3 linked regions of the Arabidopsis thaliana genome follow. The protein of the gene in region 3 purifies or fractionates together with the protein of the main gene of each other region. This does not show direct contact. Each region holds a gene or a part of one and is shown on either strand. Other genes may lie near its edges.

Region 1 (4,591 bases), on a different chromosome or scaffold from region 3:
ACACACAAAAAAGCTTAAGTGATTTGTAACCTTGAGATAATGAAAGAGCAAACGGAATCGGTGAGATTGGTTGTTACTAGCTAAACGGCCACGTTTTGTGATCAAAGACGACAATGCATCCAACGTGTTCTGGTAACGAGCTGACAATTCACCATCGTCTTCTTCATTTTGTTTCCCGGCAAACAAACAGAAAACGTAAAAGAATGAACACACAAAGTCAGAAAAAGTCATAAATCAGTTATAGAGAAACAGAAAATTTACCAGTTGCCATAGAAGAAGAACAAATCCAAAAATTTCCCAAGTTTCAATTTTGATGTCAGCTTCTCTAATCGTAGAGAAATGGGTTTAGAGATTGGAAATGAAAGGTCCTAACTTTCAGTTTAATCTTCAAACTATCTAAACGAAAAAGGTGTTAACTTTATCTACACACATATAATTGCAGAATTCGGATTTGTACCGAACAAAACCGTTATCCATTCACCAATGGTTTCTTCTCCACTAAAATTTGAACCTAATGTGGACCCCAAATTGAAAATTGAAAATGTGTGTAGTATTAAGGAGAATTTTCTTATCACTTACTCAGAAAGATTCAAAGAGACATCAACAGATTTCCTTTAAACTGTTAAAAACCACACAAAAATAAAATAAAACAGCTAATTCTTGCAAACAGTAGAGTATGAAAATTTTCTGACATTGACACATTGGCGATGTTGGGATGTGTGTGTCATCCAAACAAACAAAATTTAAACATAGGTATCGATCAATGACTTCCTCATCTCATCGACGATAGAGCTGGGTTGGGCTTCCCTTAGCTTGAAGATGCTGTCTATGACAGAGAGCTCAGTCGCAGTTGTGTCTGAACCGCAGAAAGAGGTCCAATCATTAACGGTCATACCCGCAGCGATAACTTCACTACCACGGTTCACGGTTCCTGCAACGAGAGGGACTTGAAGAAGTGTTGAGAGTTCTTCCAAGTCTTCCACTGAGGTGTGAGGATGGACCTATTTGAGAAAAGACATTCAAATTCTAATGAGAGACCAATGCCAATGCCATCCATTTCCGAAGGGAAGTTATGTTTTTCATTCTCTTACCATTCCACCTTTGTTGGATAGGGCACAGTAACTGCCCACGAGAATGTTGCCTGCAATTGTCTGACGGAAAACTTCAACGCCAAGTACATCCGCTATTATTTCCTCGGTTTCCTATCAAAGCAAAATAAAAACACAAGAACCAGAGGCATCAAACCAAACGCCATACGTACAACTCTGTTATCGTTATCATCATCATCAGAAGATATAAGATTCATGGTGATTACAAAGGCTTAATTACATTTCTGCTAACTTTTGTAAAAATGCGCACTTATTCTTTCACCATTTCTTGCCAGTCATGAAAAGAGTATATGTTTTTGAAAAGGTTTCATTAGAAAAATAAAGTATGACATGAATCTTTACCTTATCAAGATCGGTGTGGGCAAGAGCTACATAGTCATTGCAGGCAATGCAATTTCCAAGAGCAGACAGACGTTCATCAATTCGCTGGACCACAACTTGATCAGGTAGACTGTTCCTTAAGTGTTGAAGCTCTGGACGAGTAAACATAAAAAAATAAGCAGGACTCAGGAGATGCAACCAATTACAGACCTAAAACCTATATAGATTTCTAATATAAAAGAACAAGAGACTCAATAAATATTGCAACATTACAAAATCATCAACAAGTTAAGGAGGAAAATCATCTTCACCAAAAGCTTATTCAGTTATAAAAAGTCCACTCATAAACTGAAATGAAACAGGTATGGGCAGAGGCGCAGAGTAGATGCTTCAGGCAAGTTACATAAAAGATATTCACCAAAAACTCTACAATCTCTATCTCAGACAACTGGATCATGCTGGTATTAAACAATCAATTCTTAATTGTTATGAGAAACGATCTGAGGAAAGAAGTATAAAATTACCTTGGTCAGTTGTTGTATGAGGTACAAGAAGCCCATTCTTGTTTCCTATACGAAGAAACACAAAACCACATTCACTACGCTAAAGTAATGAAATAATCACGATGATTTGAAGCAAGAAAATATAACAGCTAGTTGAGAAAGCTAACCAGCACAAAGACGCCCAATAATTCGTGTTCCTCCAATAGAGGTCTTAACAATAGGGATAACATCTGCTAACTCCGACTCAAAAGCACTACACAAATCATCAAACCAAAAACATCAAAAAAGTGAAATAGAAGAAGCAAAAACAATACTGAAAACTTTACAGAGAAAAAAAAAAAAGGTACCTGTAAAAGTTCTCAGAGCCTCCTATAGCGACTAAGCAATAGGCATTAGTGAGTTTGGAAAAGACACCAACTTCGCAGTTGTTCTCAAACTGAAGACCTGCGTATTACCCACAAATCCCATTAAGGTCAAATACACAGAAGAGTAAACACAACAATATCATAAGTAAGCTCTGCAGAAAACTTACGAGTCGCCATTAGAGGGAGGAGGCTAACGTACACCTGCGTAGATAAAGAAACATGAAAACGAAATTAGGGTTTATATACGTCACAGATATCAACGATTCGTTAACAATTAGGGTTCACAAAATCCATGTCTCTAAAACAGAAAGTTTCGATTTTTCGATTATATTACAAGACGGGGACGGGAACAATTAGGGTAACAAAATCAATTGACTTGAAGATGGTGTTTGTTTGGTATAACAAGGAAATAGGAGAAGCTTACTTGAGATGGGGTGAATTCGAGAGAGAAGAAGCGGCGAAGAAGAAGAAGAAGAAGAAGAAGAAGAAGAGAGAAGAACAATTGGAATCAAAAGGTTTTTGTTAAGAAGAAGGGTTGCGCCGGCCCTGGGTTATAATCTAAAAGAAGCCACCGTTTGGGCCCTAATTTAAAGGAGGCTCCAATTATACATCATTAAAAAAAGATTTTAAATAAATTAAAAAAAAAAGAAGACAAATTATCTTGTTTGAAAGCCTTGGAGGAAAAGGAATGTTGAAAGTACAATATCAATAAAATGAAGATGTTAAAAAAAAAAAAAAGTAATGTTGAAAGTCAAGACTACTTTTGAAAACTATTTTGATTATATTTGGAAAAAAATGTTGAGAGTTTTTATAATGAAATCAGTTTTTTTTTGGTGAGAATGTGATTTGGAAAAATGTAAGTGGTGAATAAGAGATGGAGTAAGATTATAGTTGGTAATGGGGAATTGGAGCATGTAAAATGAGGTATTGTAGAGATGTTTTAAGTGGCAATCAAAAGTCATTAAAGTTGGGTTTGAGATTATGATATTAATGGTGTATGTTGTGGATTCTTTAAAATTAAAAATACTGTAGTAGTGTAGTTGGTTTTGGCTTGTAAACTTGGTGTTTATAGTATTTAATTTTATTTGGGGGGCATTTTGCTAAGCAGAATTTAACCAAAATTTACAAACGTGGTTATACTGTATTTGTTTATGTCTCTTACTTGAAATAATCTACAAGTTAGTGGTATAGAAAAAAAAACTACTACAAATTAGAGTAAAAGCCCATTATTGCAAAGGAAAGAGGGCAGCTAAAGCCCATTATTGGAATATAAATCTTTTAAAAAACATCTGCATATCTCTATTCGATTTTTTAGAACTTCACAACATCTCGAGAACATATGCATATCAAACATAATGGGCAGTGTCTCCATTCAATTATTGTCGAATACTTTTCCTGATGTAGCACGAATGGTATCTTTATTTTTATGTTTAATAAAGGGTTCTGTTTCTTTCTTCTATAGTAGTTGGTTTGTATTAAGCTAAATCTCGTTTTGATTATCACTCAAAGCATTTTTCACGATGACTGAATTAACTTTAATAATGTATTAACTGTTTGATAAATAAATAAAAAAAATGTATTAACTGTTTTTCTTTTATTTTCCTGTCGGTCTATAGCTCACTTATGTCTACATTAACTTTTATTTCTTGTCGACATGTCTCTATTAACTTTTAATCGATGAAATTTTTTTAATAGCACAGTGATAATGATTCTTTGGATTTTCTTCTTCTATATGCGTCGTCTTGTCACCACGTATATTAAAATAAAACAAAATAGAAGACTTATTATGTCAAGAGTTTTAATTTTAACCAACCTTTTAGAACAATCAAACGTTTTTCTAATAGAGTCGTTCCAAACAAAAGAGAAACCTTTTTTAGCCGGTGTTGTTCAAGTTTTTTAAAACTCTCGTGAAAAGGATGCAAGGAAAATATCTAAACGGCTACGAGATTTTCCAGTTCGTGAAGAAAACTGCAGAAAAGGAAAAAGAAATAAGTGTAACTTCTTGTTTGCTTGTATTATATAGTCTCTGAACGTGACGGCACTAGACTTTTCCACTTTTGGAAGCTCGTCGTGATGACCTCTTTTTCTTCAAAATACATTTTTAACAATTTAATTCAAACAGTACCAATCAAAATTTGCCTTTAATTATTATTATTGTTTTATAAAAATTCGGAGGTCACTATTGAGTCGAGAAACGCTATATAGTTAATTCCATTATACGGAAATTAATTAGTAACTCCATTGAAACCATCCTACCAAAATCCAAATGGCTCGTGTTGCATATTGGCTGAAC
Region 2 (6,950 bases), 2.9 Mb from region 3:
TAAAGATGGAGACTCTTTCGGTGCTTCATCAACGGCGGTGCTAGATCCACCTTCGGTTTCTGCCTCCGCCGATACTTCGCTGGAGTTCCTAGCCGGCGAACAGATAATCCGCTTCGTGTTGATAGTTGGCTTCCATGGGAAAGAGCACGTGCTTGGTACGTGATGGAGGACTGATTCACCGGGAATGTGGACTAAAGATGGTTGAGTTATCGTCGATAAGGAAGCCATAGCTCCAAGGTTTACACACCAAACACACAAATATTTCGAATTTTAATTGATAACGGATACCAAAATTGTATCAACCATAGAAATCTAAGCGGATAAATAAATAATGCAGGTCCACTATAATAAGACACAGCTATATAGTATTAGTTATGATTCTTTATCAACAAGGTCGTTGTAGTATAGTGGTAAGTATTCCCGCCTGTCACGCGGGTGACCCGGGTTCGATCCCCGGCAACGGCGATTTTTTATCTTTTGGTGTTAGATTTAGAAACGATGTCGTTTTCAGCTTACTTCAACGTTCTTACAGCATCTTTGAGCATTAATAGTAGTAAGTAAACCCAGTTAGACAAAATGTTTGTGACACAACACAATCGAAGTTTGCAATTATATGAACAGCATAAACTTACTGCACATGCTTCGATATCTACAGAGTCATCAATCTCATGGCTTTTTGTCTCTAATATTTAAAAGAATTGAGTCTTGAAAGAAAGTATCAGCAAAAAGCTAAATAAAAGATAGTCAAAGCAAGGACTTGAATCATCAGTCTTTTTTCTTATTTGCTTAGACCAGAGCTCTCGCCAGATTTCCAAACCACATCGTTAAGTGAGGTTGAGAGCTTCTTGTAGAACTGTAAAGAAAGTAGATGAACAGAGATATAAGAATCGGTCCTCAAGTGAACATATTAGTCGAAAACTTGAAAAATGATTACCTTATGGAATTCTAGTGTATCCCCTTTCGTTTTCCGGACTTCGATCATATGAAGAGACGGTGATACTTGAAATATCTACAAAACATTATAAGATACGGTCACTTCTTTAGTTCCATGACAATTTGGATTCAGATACTAACTTCATAACAGAAAAAGAGTCAGGAGTGCATAATGTACCTCAGTTGCAACTCTTAGGTTTCCTTTCCTTCCAGCAGTCACGTTTTCAAGTCTCATCTGTGTACATAAGTAGCGCTTCAGTAAAAGGAAACTTCCACACCGTAACGAAGTGAGCAATGAGGGTGATAATATGTTAATTAGGACCTTCATTTCTACCCTAATAGGTAATCCGTCTATAAGTGAACTTGTTGGTGAGGTTCGAGTTTATCGATTTATACCAAGGGAGTGAGTCTTTTTATCATGTGTTTGTGATTCTTAACTCTAACAGGAAGCCATCTAAGAAAAAGGAAAAGACGATGCCAATAGCTGTTAAGGTTTCACACGATCGCATTACCTTATAGTTTTTCTTTTGAATATCGAAACCAAGCGGCTTAGAAGCTTCTTCAATCTTTTGGACTAAATCATTAGCAGCACCTTTAGCAGCAAATCTCGTTTCTCGCTTGAATCCCTGCAAGTTAAACGGTATAGACTTCATTACTGAAAATATAATGTGGAAAAACAAGTGTTTGCTCAAGGATTCAAGCAAATAAGTATGTTAAGTCTAAGAGACATACCTCTTCTTCTTCAAACAAATTCCCGAGATCCAGAGCTCTCGACATTGATATCAACTCAAAGGCATTCATTGAAGTTGGTTGCTCCTCTTTCTTTTCTGTGACATGATGCTCCTGTTAATAAATTACAGACTGTTATGTACATTTATTCAAGTAACTTGAAAAAAGGAAAAACAGTTCATTTATCTTATAGATCGCAGACAAAATAAATAAGACTCACTTCTGAATCTTTGAAAACAGCGTCCACATCATCCAAGTTGGCTTCTTCCTTCTCCTCGAAAACAGCTGGCTTGTAATTTTTCTTGAACCACGCATCTCCCAGAACCTCTGGAATTGTGATACGCTGGCACGTTAACACACAGTCAATTAGTTCCACCGTTGAAATCAAGGACGAGCGGCTTTAGTCGCAGATGTTTTGAATGAGTTTAAGTTTAACATGCAAGACACAAAAAAAAGTAATAAAGAGTCGAAGAGGAAATATAGAAAGACTTTGATATAAAAAGTAGATAAAAGTGATTACACAAAGAATTCAAGAGCTTAAGAAATAGGAAACCCCCCCAAAACCCAGAATAAGAAAACACATAAATAAGCCCTTAGTTATATATCATGATTAAGATACTAATCAAACAATCTTCACCAAATCATAACTGAATATCTATCATAATCCGCTATGTATATAACTAAAAAATACAGGAGAATCATAAACTTTTGAGCAATTTAGAAAGATTATGATAAAATCTACCAGCAGAAGCTCATTGCAGGTAGATATCCCTAAAAGAAAATGTCAGCTAGAATGGAAATTATTAATTTATATGACACAGAAACGTACAGTTACTTTAAACAAGTCAATAATTCTGCTTACACGTTGTGACTCAATTTACAAAATAGTAAATGATGCCTAAATATGAAGAAGTATATTTGATATTAAACCTAATGCTAAAAATAGAACAAGACAAACAATAGAATGCCACTTTGGTGGGTTAGGCCGTTAGGGCTTAGACAATCAAATCTTCCCATATATGTTACCCTGGTAAGCCCTAACCTACCTAAGTGTCTAAGAATAAAAACAAGACAAGATTGTTGGGGTTCGACTGAAGAAAACAAAAGAAGAATAGATTTAAATCTTGAAAGCATTAATAAACTGAAATATCTTACAGTCATAGGGTTTGGATCCAAGATTCGGACAATCAAGTTCTTAGCACCAGGAGAGAGCCAAGGAGGACAATGATATTCACCAGCTATTATCTGAGAAATGACGAAAGTGTTAACATAGAAACAGTAATCACCGATAATGGTGAAAGAAGAAGCTTTGAAAAAATGACAAAACTTCTTACCTTTTTATACAGCGTCATGAGATTAGAATCCTCGAAAGGCAAGTAGCCAGCAAGTAGTACAAAGAGTATCACTCCACAGGACCACAAGTCTGCGGTTGCCCCGTCATAACCTTGATCATTAAGAACCTTGTGACAAGAGCAACAACGAAGCTATTAGTAACATAACATGGTGCAACAACCGCATGACATACAAGACACATGCCTAAGCATACCTCAGGAGCAGCATAGTTTGGAGTTCCGCATGCAGTGTGAAGAAGACCATCACCCTGCCAAGACCAAATAAGTTTGATAAGCTGAGAATCTAGAATGGTCAGTATTCAGAGCTTATTAAATATATGTATAAACAGTCAATGAGACACATCGTCGTTGAACTACAGGTTTCTTCATTAGAATAGGACAAGGACAAATCAGTGAGAATTCAGGTAAACAAAAGGATGCTAAGAAAGAAAAATAAGACTCAGTGATTACCCTGACTTGTCGGGACAACGCACTCAATCCAAAATCAGAGACTTTCAGATTTCCTTGAGCATCTAGAAGCAAGTTTTCCGGCTGCAGTGAAATTGTAAGTATCAATTATCTGCACATTAAAGAAACATACTGCAAACTTGGGCATAAACCAAAAAATATCATACCTTTAAGTCCCGGTGGTACACTCCCCTGCTATGGCAGTAATCAACTGCATTAATAAGCTGCTGAAAATATTTCCGTGCATTCTCTTCTTTCAAGCGCCCATCATGTACCTTCACAAGTTTACACATAATGCAAAGGTTAAATCTACAAAGGTTAAATCTACATCAGAGATAAGAGAACGTTTCAATTGCAAGAAACAGGAACATCTATCAAGATTGACCAGAGCTTAGCATACATGTTCAAACAACAATAGATGGATCAAGTAACAATTATAAATCCATTGGGAGGGATTAAGGAAAACTCACAATTTTGTCAAAAAGCTCTCCACCAGTGCCGAACTCTAGAACAATATATATCTTAGTCTTGCTCGCCAAAACCTGGAACGGTATCAATCATTTCCTTAAAAGTTAGCTTCAGCACATTGGCTTCACATACAAAGAGCTCTAAAGCAAGCCAAAGAAAAATAGAGACACAAATAGAAAAATGGAGATATACCTCATACAGCCGCACTACATTTGGATGGTTTATCAGCTTCATAGTACAAATTTCTCTCCTTATCTGTAAAAACAATCAGGAAAGACACACATCATACTTTTGGACTGAAGATGCATCTAGTATATTATCTTATTAGGAAAGAGAGTTACCTGTTCAGCCATCTTATGCTTAAGAACCTTCTCCTTATCAAGTATTTTGAGAGCCACGCGTTCTCCTGTCTCAGTATTAACAGCACACCGAACTTTCGCAAAAGTGCCTTGTCCAAGCGTCTTTCCAACCTCATACTTTCCAACACGACGCTGAACCTTTGGCCGATTCATCACTCCGAATGTTCACCTCTTGATCTTCAAAAGCTGTTTTTGGAAAATGTAATCTCGCATATAAGAATGATTCCATGAAAAGAATCCAACACAACAACAGGCAAGATAGTGTTTCTTTGCTCAATTCACGGAAACTAAATGCAAAAAAAGTGAAAGAAACCGTCAAGAAAAGAACAGTAATATGCCACAGAATTCAATAAAGACAAAGCGTAAAAACAGCTGAAAATCCACAAGGCAATGACAAATCTAGCAGCGGAGATTTTCTCCGGAAATTCCGATCATCCTTTTTAATTACTCCAAAAACAGCCTAAATCTCTAGAATCATGACTTAGATAAATCATATATTGTTCAAGCAAGCATCTACAAATCCAAAATTCTCCACTAAACCAATATTTGTACTGATACACAATTGAAGCGAGATTCTCGAGTTAGCTACAGAACTAATCATCATCACCATCATATAATATAGAGATTATGCACACTTTACACATAAACCAAAAGCGTAAGCAACTCTCTAAGTTACCGAATTACTCATCGAATTCGAAGCAAAAACATGGAGAATCGACCAACAAACCTGCAAAATTGGACGGAGAAAAGTGAGCGAGTAGAGGTGACAAAACCGATGTAGCCGCCTTTGGGGAGCTCAAGAGTTAGCAGGAGAAATTCAAAAGAAAATCTATGGCGGAGAATTCGCAGGAGAAATAAAAAAATGATGGGCTAATACAAGGAGCAACAAGAGATAGAGATGCGACGAAAGAGATACGATGATTGTAGAGAAATTTGTAGCTAACAGACAAAAACTTATTTAATTTCGTGTAGGGACTCTCTCACTTTAATGGACACTTGTTTTTTAATTTTTTTTTTTCGTATGGGACAATTATACGTTTCTTTCCTTTGTTAAGCTCCTCAATTTTCTTAAGAAATAAAATTATGTTTTTTGCCTTTTTTGGTCAATTATTTTGGGTTAATTAATGTAATGACAAAATATTTGAGTATTCAGATTTTGACTAGATATGGACCTAATCAATAGGTGTTTTTTTTTCTTTCTCATTTGAGTTGTTTCTAAGTAATCGATGAATTCTTATGTTTTTGTTACAGACCATTTAAAAAAAAAAATAGTTGTAACTGATTTTATCCACTATTATATATTTTTAAGTCTTAACTCTGAAGTATATATGAGTTTTTTGTAAGAAAGAAAAACCGTTGCTTCTTCACTCTCACTTACTTACTAGTCACTACAAAGTTCAACAAAAGTCATACATTGCAACCGTTTTGTGTAGTGTCAATGGTTATAGACTGATGACAATTATTAGAACATTGAACAAATCATCAACGGCAAAAGCTCATTAGACTCATTTGTAGCGAGTACATATATATTCTAGAGGTGTGGAATAATAAGACTCATATAAATGATCGAACACTCTTTTTGTTTTTAATATAAAAACTAAAAAAATTTAAAAACAGTTTACTTGGAAAAAATGTAGAGATATTGACTAACTTTTTTATTAAGTATCCATTTAAATTAAAACAAAACATGTAAAATCGATTCAAGTTTAACTATTTCTACAAAAAAGTGTATTCATGTAAAATTTTTGCTTATACATATCCGTTTCTGTAACGTAAATTTAGAGGATACTCTAATCATTTCATATGTATCCATATATTATTTTTTTCAACATATTATAAGTTTTTTTTTAATTTTCCAAATTAATTAATATCCTTAAATATCTATCCTAGTTTAAAAACTTTTTATAATTAAATATTTAAATGAAAAAAATAATGTCAAAAGTTTAATTGATATACTGTAAAATATTCTACTAAATCAGTTTTGAAAATAGTCAAAAAAAATTAATAATTGTTAATTTGATAGATTTATTACCTAGTATATATGTCTAAATTAACTGCAAAGGTTATAGTTTTCTTTATAATTGTCTTAAAAAACTAAACTAAAAAGACAAAAAAATCATAAGAATTACTGAATTAGCTAGTAAATCTTTAGAGGCCCAACCATAAGTTGTTGGGCTCTCTCTCTTTTATAAGCTCTCTTGCTGAATTATTATTAGAGAGGCAAATAATATATTCAGTAGCAAAAAAAAAATCTGGGATTTCTAAAAAAAGGTAAGAAGGAAAATGGCGGATCAGCTCACCGATGACCAGATCTCAGAGTTCAAGGAAGCCTTTAGCCTCTTCGATAAGGATGGTGATGGTATGTTTCTTTCCCAGATCTTTGCGTTTTTTCCCCGATGATTACTCCGTCCGTATACGAGTTCTGGAATTTGTTTGACAGATTTATGATCTTCTTCAGTTTTCTGTATGATTCGTGTTTGTTTCACTTGTGAACGATCTAGCTTTTGGCTAATTCGATAGCGATTCATGACTCACGCTGTGTTTTGTTCTTGTTCTGGTTCAGTCTCGTGATGCAGCAATGAAATGTTTTGGGAAATTTATCCATATGTTGAGATTTTGAGTAGTTTAATTGTTGAAAAAAGGATTGATGTTGTAGATATCA
Region 3 (4,780 bases):
TATAGCTAGTGCGAACAAAAGGATTAACTAGAATTCCTAACAGATACTAACCTTACACCCTCAAAGTCTCCCTCCAAAACAACCCGATGTAGGTTGTTAGGGTTATCCTGAAAGACCCCTATGTTAGTCGCGCGAGGTGCTTGTACAATGTTTACTTCACATATTTTGGCAATCCCACTACATCATACATGGTTTATATTATTGTTAGGCGAAGGAATATAGGCATGATGACAAAAATAATCTTAGGTGTTGGTGCTAATATTAATCTTAACACAAGTGAAAGGGTCTTCTTTACTGACAAGCAACGAAAACAGGGAAACCATAAAACTAAGTAATCTTAGGGACTTAAAACTCTTACTTATCAGGGCTTGCTGAAGGGCTACGTGGTATCTCTTGTAGATGACGAAGAAATGTAGCAAGCATTGCATTAAAGGTTGGTCTTTTCGACGGTTTAAACTGAAGACATTCACCAATCATTTTCCATAATTCCCGAGGAATTCCCACACCCACTATGCGTTCATACTGTGGTGGTACTTTTCGGGCTTTCACAACAGCTTGAAAAATTTCTTCTCTACTAAGACCATCCCACCTGTAAAATTAAGTGACAGTTAGTACAATGGCAGACACAAAACACAACTGAAATATCAACTAGGAAGAGGCTTCACATACGGAGTGGATCCAGTGCACATCTCTACTAACGTACAGCCAAAACTCCATGCATCTGATTCTGGAGATACACCACTTGCATCCTCCCAAAAAAGTTTTTTCACCGGTCCCCAAGCCTCTGGGGCAGTGTAGTGTGGACTGAGTGTTACACAGTCCGTGTATAGAGTGACTTTTGAGGAATCAAACTCTGGTCGAGTTTTCTGGCATGTTGGCTTCTTTAGGATGGGAGCGAGCCCATAATCAGAAACCACAGCATTGCCGCTTGCATCCAAAAGAAGATTGGAAGGTTTTATATTCATACAGATAACACCTGCTGCATGGAGTTCTGCAACCCCTCGAGCAACATCAGCCCCATATCTACAGTTGGTAAAATTTAATATCACAACAAGAGCAATGGAATAATACATATGTTGGTCACTGAAGGAATATTCTAAGTTGTAAACTTAAAACAACATGAGCACGATATGAAAGGAGAATACAAAACACTCATTTACGCATTAGTGCTTACATTTAATAGTCCCAAATGACGCAATTCAGTTAAAAACAGAAAATAGGAGGAAATACAAACAAGTGAATTGAAGGTAATATTAGAACCAGGACAACAAAATAAGGATCATCTTTAGATGATGCGTCCTTTGATAAATTAATGTATAACAATTCGTACAATTTTTTGCATGATTTGATATGTCAGTTCGTTGAAAAATGATTTCTGGTCATATACTTTAGAAGGAAGCATACTAATGTAAAGGGCTTTCTCAAAGATATCTTGCAAACGTAGGTTCAAGGATCCACTACTAAAAAGGAAAGGACTAGTCCAAAAAATGTTTGTCTATTGAGGCATTGACAGATGAAAAGTAGCTGCAGCTGGTAATGACAAAGAGAGATGACAACTACTATAATTCGTGCCTAGCTTTTTAAGAACATCTAAACTAAAGTTATCTTACAAGTTGCCCTTTTGGCAAATGACACCAGGTTTTAGTTGCTTGTTTCACTAGAATCTGAAAAACTGTGCACTTACAATATATATTTCTAATAGCAATCACAAAAAACCAAGTCGGGTCTAGTCCAGTAATTTCTAATTAGGGAACAGGCTATCAAAGTTTGAGACTTTAAGCACAGAAACGATCACAGTAAAAGCCAGATACTAGGCAAAAAAAAAGAATAAGAGAAGCAAAAGAGGAACCTTAGAATCTGCTCCAAAGTAAGTCTGCCTTCATTGCGTTGCATCTCAGACTGAACAGACCCAAAGCACCTGTCCATCAAAAGACAAAGAGATCCATCCATCTTCACAACCCCATGGAAAGTACAAACATTCCTACACCACATGGATGCTCTCCGCAAGCTCTCAAGCTGTCCCTGCATCCACTCAACATCCATGTCCTCCGTCAAAGTCATCTTTTTCACCGCCACACGGTGCTTACACCGTCCACCACCGCCTGCAACAGTTGCATCCCACATCTCCACACCTCCAAAACCACCACTACTACTCTCTTCCCCAATCTGCCTCACCAGCTTCATCTCCGGGTGAGCTCCGACCTCGATCACTGGACCACACAAGCTATTAATCGAGCTTGAGGCATGAAATCCACGAGCGGCACGAGCTCCATCTTCATCACTACCATCTTCTTCATCGTCGTCATCCTCATCATCCGTGTAATCGCAATCGAAGTTAGCGCCGCCGGATGCGGCGTGAATGAGAGCAAGCATAGCGTAGTTCTTCCTGAGACCCTGAACAGAGTTCCCAACAACAGACACGTGGCGACACCGGGGACAAGTGAGGGTTGTGTCGGAAGAAGTAGAGAACATCTTGGAAAGACAATCTTTGCAGAAGCCATGGCCGCATTGAAGCAATAAAGGAACTCTCTCATCTTCATTATACCGCGTGTGGCACACGGAACAACAAGGGACCTTGACTCTCCCAACCATGAGAGCTCCGAAAAGAGAAAGCCCTAAATTAATTTAGGTCGCGAGATCAAAGAGTAAGAAGGGAGTGAAAGACCAATCAATTCAGTAGAGAGAGTTCCTCAGAACATATCTGGGGGGGGGGGGGGGGGAAGGAAACTCAGTAAAGTCGATCCAGATCAAGGAGAGAAGAACAGATCCATGGAGAAGAAAGAAAAAGGTGGAATTTTTGAAAGGTAGATCAAAATTGGCTGGGAAAAATCAGACACGAGCAAGCAAGAATAAAAATTGTAAGAAAAATGTGAAAAAGGTTCTTCTTCAGGGTTTTATATCATCATTTTTATTTTTATTTTCATTTTTTTCCAATTTTATTTGGGGTTGAGTCTCGAGGGCTCTCTGGTTTCGTCGGTTTTGACGGGTGGGTGCCGTCAGCACTTGTGCTCGAACCCGTTTATTGACTCTCCTAATAGTAGTAATCGTCAACCATCAGATTTTATATTTGTTGTCATCAACAACTTAAACCATCAGGAAAAAATAATTGTAATTTTTACTGAGAGTTTTTTTTTTTGGCGAAGTTTTTACCAAGTAGCTTTTGAGCCAAATGCAAAAACAAATAGATTGTTTGATCTTGTAATAGAGTTCACCAAATAATGAGACGATAAATCTGACACCAATACCAAAATGTAAACTCGTTGTTTGTTGCTAAGTAGATTACTCGTGTGAGTGTATAACTCATGGACCTAAAACTTGAAGCTCAATAGAGGCTCAAGCCCAAAAAGATGGTTGTTAAAAATCTCAGGATTGTTGGTGGCTTGGTGTGCTTTTGGTTCATCCAACTTGGGTTTAACATTGTATTTAGTCGCCGTTTAATATCTAACGGTTTCAACTTTATGCACTAAATGATTCTCCATTAACCAAATTATTCCAAAAATACATTATTTATCATCATAAAATGGTACCATCGAACAACAATTCTTCATTTTTTCTTTTTCTCCCGCTTTATACTCTCTTCTCCACCTCTCTAACTGCCCCTTTCCTCAAAACCCTAAGCAAGCTTCTCTCACTCAGCAATGGCACCCATTGATCCACACTCTTTCACCGATTCCTCTCATCCTCTCACCACGCATGTCGCTCTCTCCCTCTACCTCGATTTCAACACCTCCATAATCCATGGCTCCGCTCTCCTCACTCTCTCCTCCGCCTTCTCCGGCGAACTCTCTCTTGATACTCGCTGCATTTCCATTGCTATGGTCCTCGATCCTCTCACTCTCGAGCCTATCCCTTACTCCGTCTCCACCACACCGGATCGAATTCGGGGCACCGAAGTTGTCGTAGTCCTCTCCGGTCAATCTTCACTGCTAATTGTCTACTCCACTTCGCCTTCTGCTTCCGCTCTCCAGTGGCTTTCGCCGCTTCAAACTTTCTCCAAATTGCATCCTTATGTCTACACGCAGTGTCAAGCGATTCACGCCAGATCCATTTTCCCATGCCAGGACACTCCTGCCGCGAGGATCCGTTACGACGTCGTTATGAACATACCGAATTCGCTCTCTGCCGTCATGTCGGCTCGCCACGTCCGTCGTAGGCTTGCGGTTCCTGAGGAGGCTAAACATCTCGAGGCTGGGTCGCTGGGGTCGTCACTGTGGTGTGGTGAGGATAGAGTTGTGGAAGAGTTTGCTATGGAACAGCCTATACCGCCTTATCTATTTGCTTTTGCCGTTGGTGAGTTAGGGTTTCGGGAAGTTGGACCTAGGACTCGGGTATACACAGAATCTGCCGCCATTGAAGTTCTAGATGCGGCTGCTCTGGAGTTTGCAGGAACGGAGGATATGATCAAGCAAGGGGAGAAGCTGTTTGGAGATTACGAGTGGGAGAGATTTGACTTACTGGTGCTGCCTCCGAGTTTTCCTTATGGAGGTATGGAGAATCCAAGAATGGTTTTCCTGACGCCTACTGTTATCAAAGGAGACGCCACTGGAGCTCAAGTTGTAGCTCACGAGCTCGCACATAGCTGGACTGGGAATTTGATCACTAATATCAACAATGAACACTTCTGGTTGAATGAGGTAGCTTTGAATTGTCTTGTGCTTTTGCTTCTTTTAGCTACAAATTAGGATGTGTAACTGTGTGTCCGTTTTTAGAGTTTGCCTTGTTGATGGGAAAGTGTTTATTTCATGTTCATGGCAATAGGGATTTACAACTTACGCAGAGA

What was found. Proteins that work in one complex are often made in the same cells at the same time.
Region 1: the proteins of KEG (region 3) and eIF6A purify together in Arabidopsis thaliana (affinity purification with mass spectrometry, with the first as the bait; one study listed by BioGRID). This does not show direct contact.
Region 2: the proteins of KEG (region 3) and CIPK26 purify together in Arabidopsis thaliana (affinity purification with mass spectrometry, with the first as the bait; one study listed by BioGRID). This does not show direct contact.

The regions. Positions count from the first base shown.
Region 1 is NC_003074.8:20,632,465-20,637,055, reverse strand, and holds eIF6A (Translation initiation factor IF6), read right to left. Parts: upstream 3,000-4,591; 5' UTR 2,723-2,999; intron 2,500-2,722; 5' UTR 2,476-2,499; coding exon 2,466-2,475; intron 2,378-2,465; coding exon 2,281-2,377; intron 2,187-2,280; coding exon 2,101-2,186; intron 2,000-2,100; coding exon 1,955-1,999; intron 1,583-1,954; coding exon 1,452-1,582; intron 1,203-1,451; coding exon 1,092-1,202; intron 1,002-1,091; coding exon 744-1,001; 3' UTR 501-743; downstream 1-500. Other genes in the region: DFD (DHFS-FPGS homolog D), read right to left, coding at 31-161, 262-271. UniProt on the Arabidopsis thaliana protein: Binds to the 60S ribosomal subunit and prevents its association with the 40S ribosomal subunit to form the 80S initiation complex in the cytoplasm. May also be involved in ribosome biogenesis.
Region 2 is NC_003076.8:7,215,572-7,222,521, reverse strand, and holds CIPK26 (Ca2+regulated serine-threonine protein kinase family protein), read right to left. Parts: upstream 5,279-6,950; 5' UTR 5,016-5,278; intron 4,475-5,015; 5' UTR 4,442-4,474; coding exon 4,271-4,441; intron 4,185-4,270; coding exon 4,122-4,184; intron 4,004-4,121; coding exon 3,932-4,003; intron 3,737-3,931; coding exon 3,629-3,736; intron 3,546-3,628; coding exon 3,465-3,545; intron 3,263-3,464; coding exon 3,209-3,262; intron 3,123-3,208; coding exon 2,997-3,122; intron 2,908-2,996; coding exon 2,818-2,907; intron 2,006-2,817; coding exon 1,883-2,005; intron 1,777-1,882; coding exon 1,666-1,776; intron 1,560-1,665; coding exon 1,446-1,559; intron 1,169-1,445; coding exon 1,112-1,168; intron 1,010-1,111; coding exon 935-1,009; intron 854-934; coding exon 779-853; 3' UTR 501-778; downstream 1-500. Other genes in the region: NdhU (Chaperone DnaJ-domain superfamily protein), read right to left, coding at 1-228; CAM6 (calmodulin 6), read left to right, coding at 6,572-6,647. UniProt on the Arabidopsis thaliana protein: CIPK serine-threonine protein kinases interact with CBL proteins. Binding of a CBL protein to the regulatory NAF domain of CIPK protein lead to the activation of the kinase in a calcium-dependent manner.
Region 3 is NC_003076.8:4,343,430-4,348,209, reverse strand, and holds the start of KEG (protein kinases;ubiquitin-protein ligase), read right to left. Parts: upstream 3,009-4,780; 5' UTR 2,593-3,008; coding exon 1,850-2,592; intron 1,024-1,849; coding exon 670-1,023; intron 590-669; coding exon 359-589; intron 178-358; coding exon 52-177; intron 1-51. Other genes in the region: AT5G13520 (peptidase M1 family protein), read left to right, coding at 3,639-4,634, 4,759-4,780. UniProt on the Arabidopsis thaliana protein: Mediates E2-dependent protein ubiquitination. Acts as a negative regulator of abscisic acid signaling. Required for ABI5 degradation, by mediating its ubiquitination.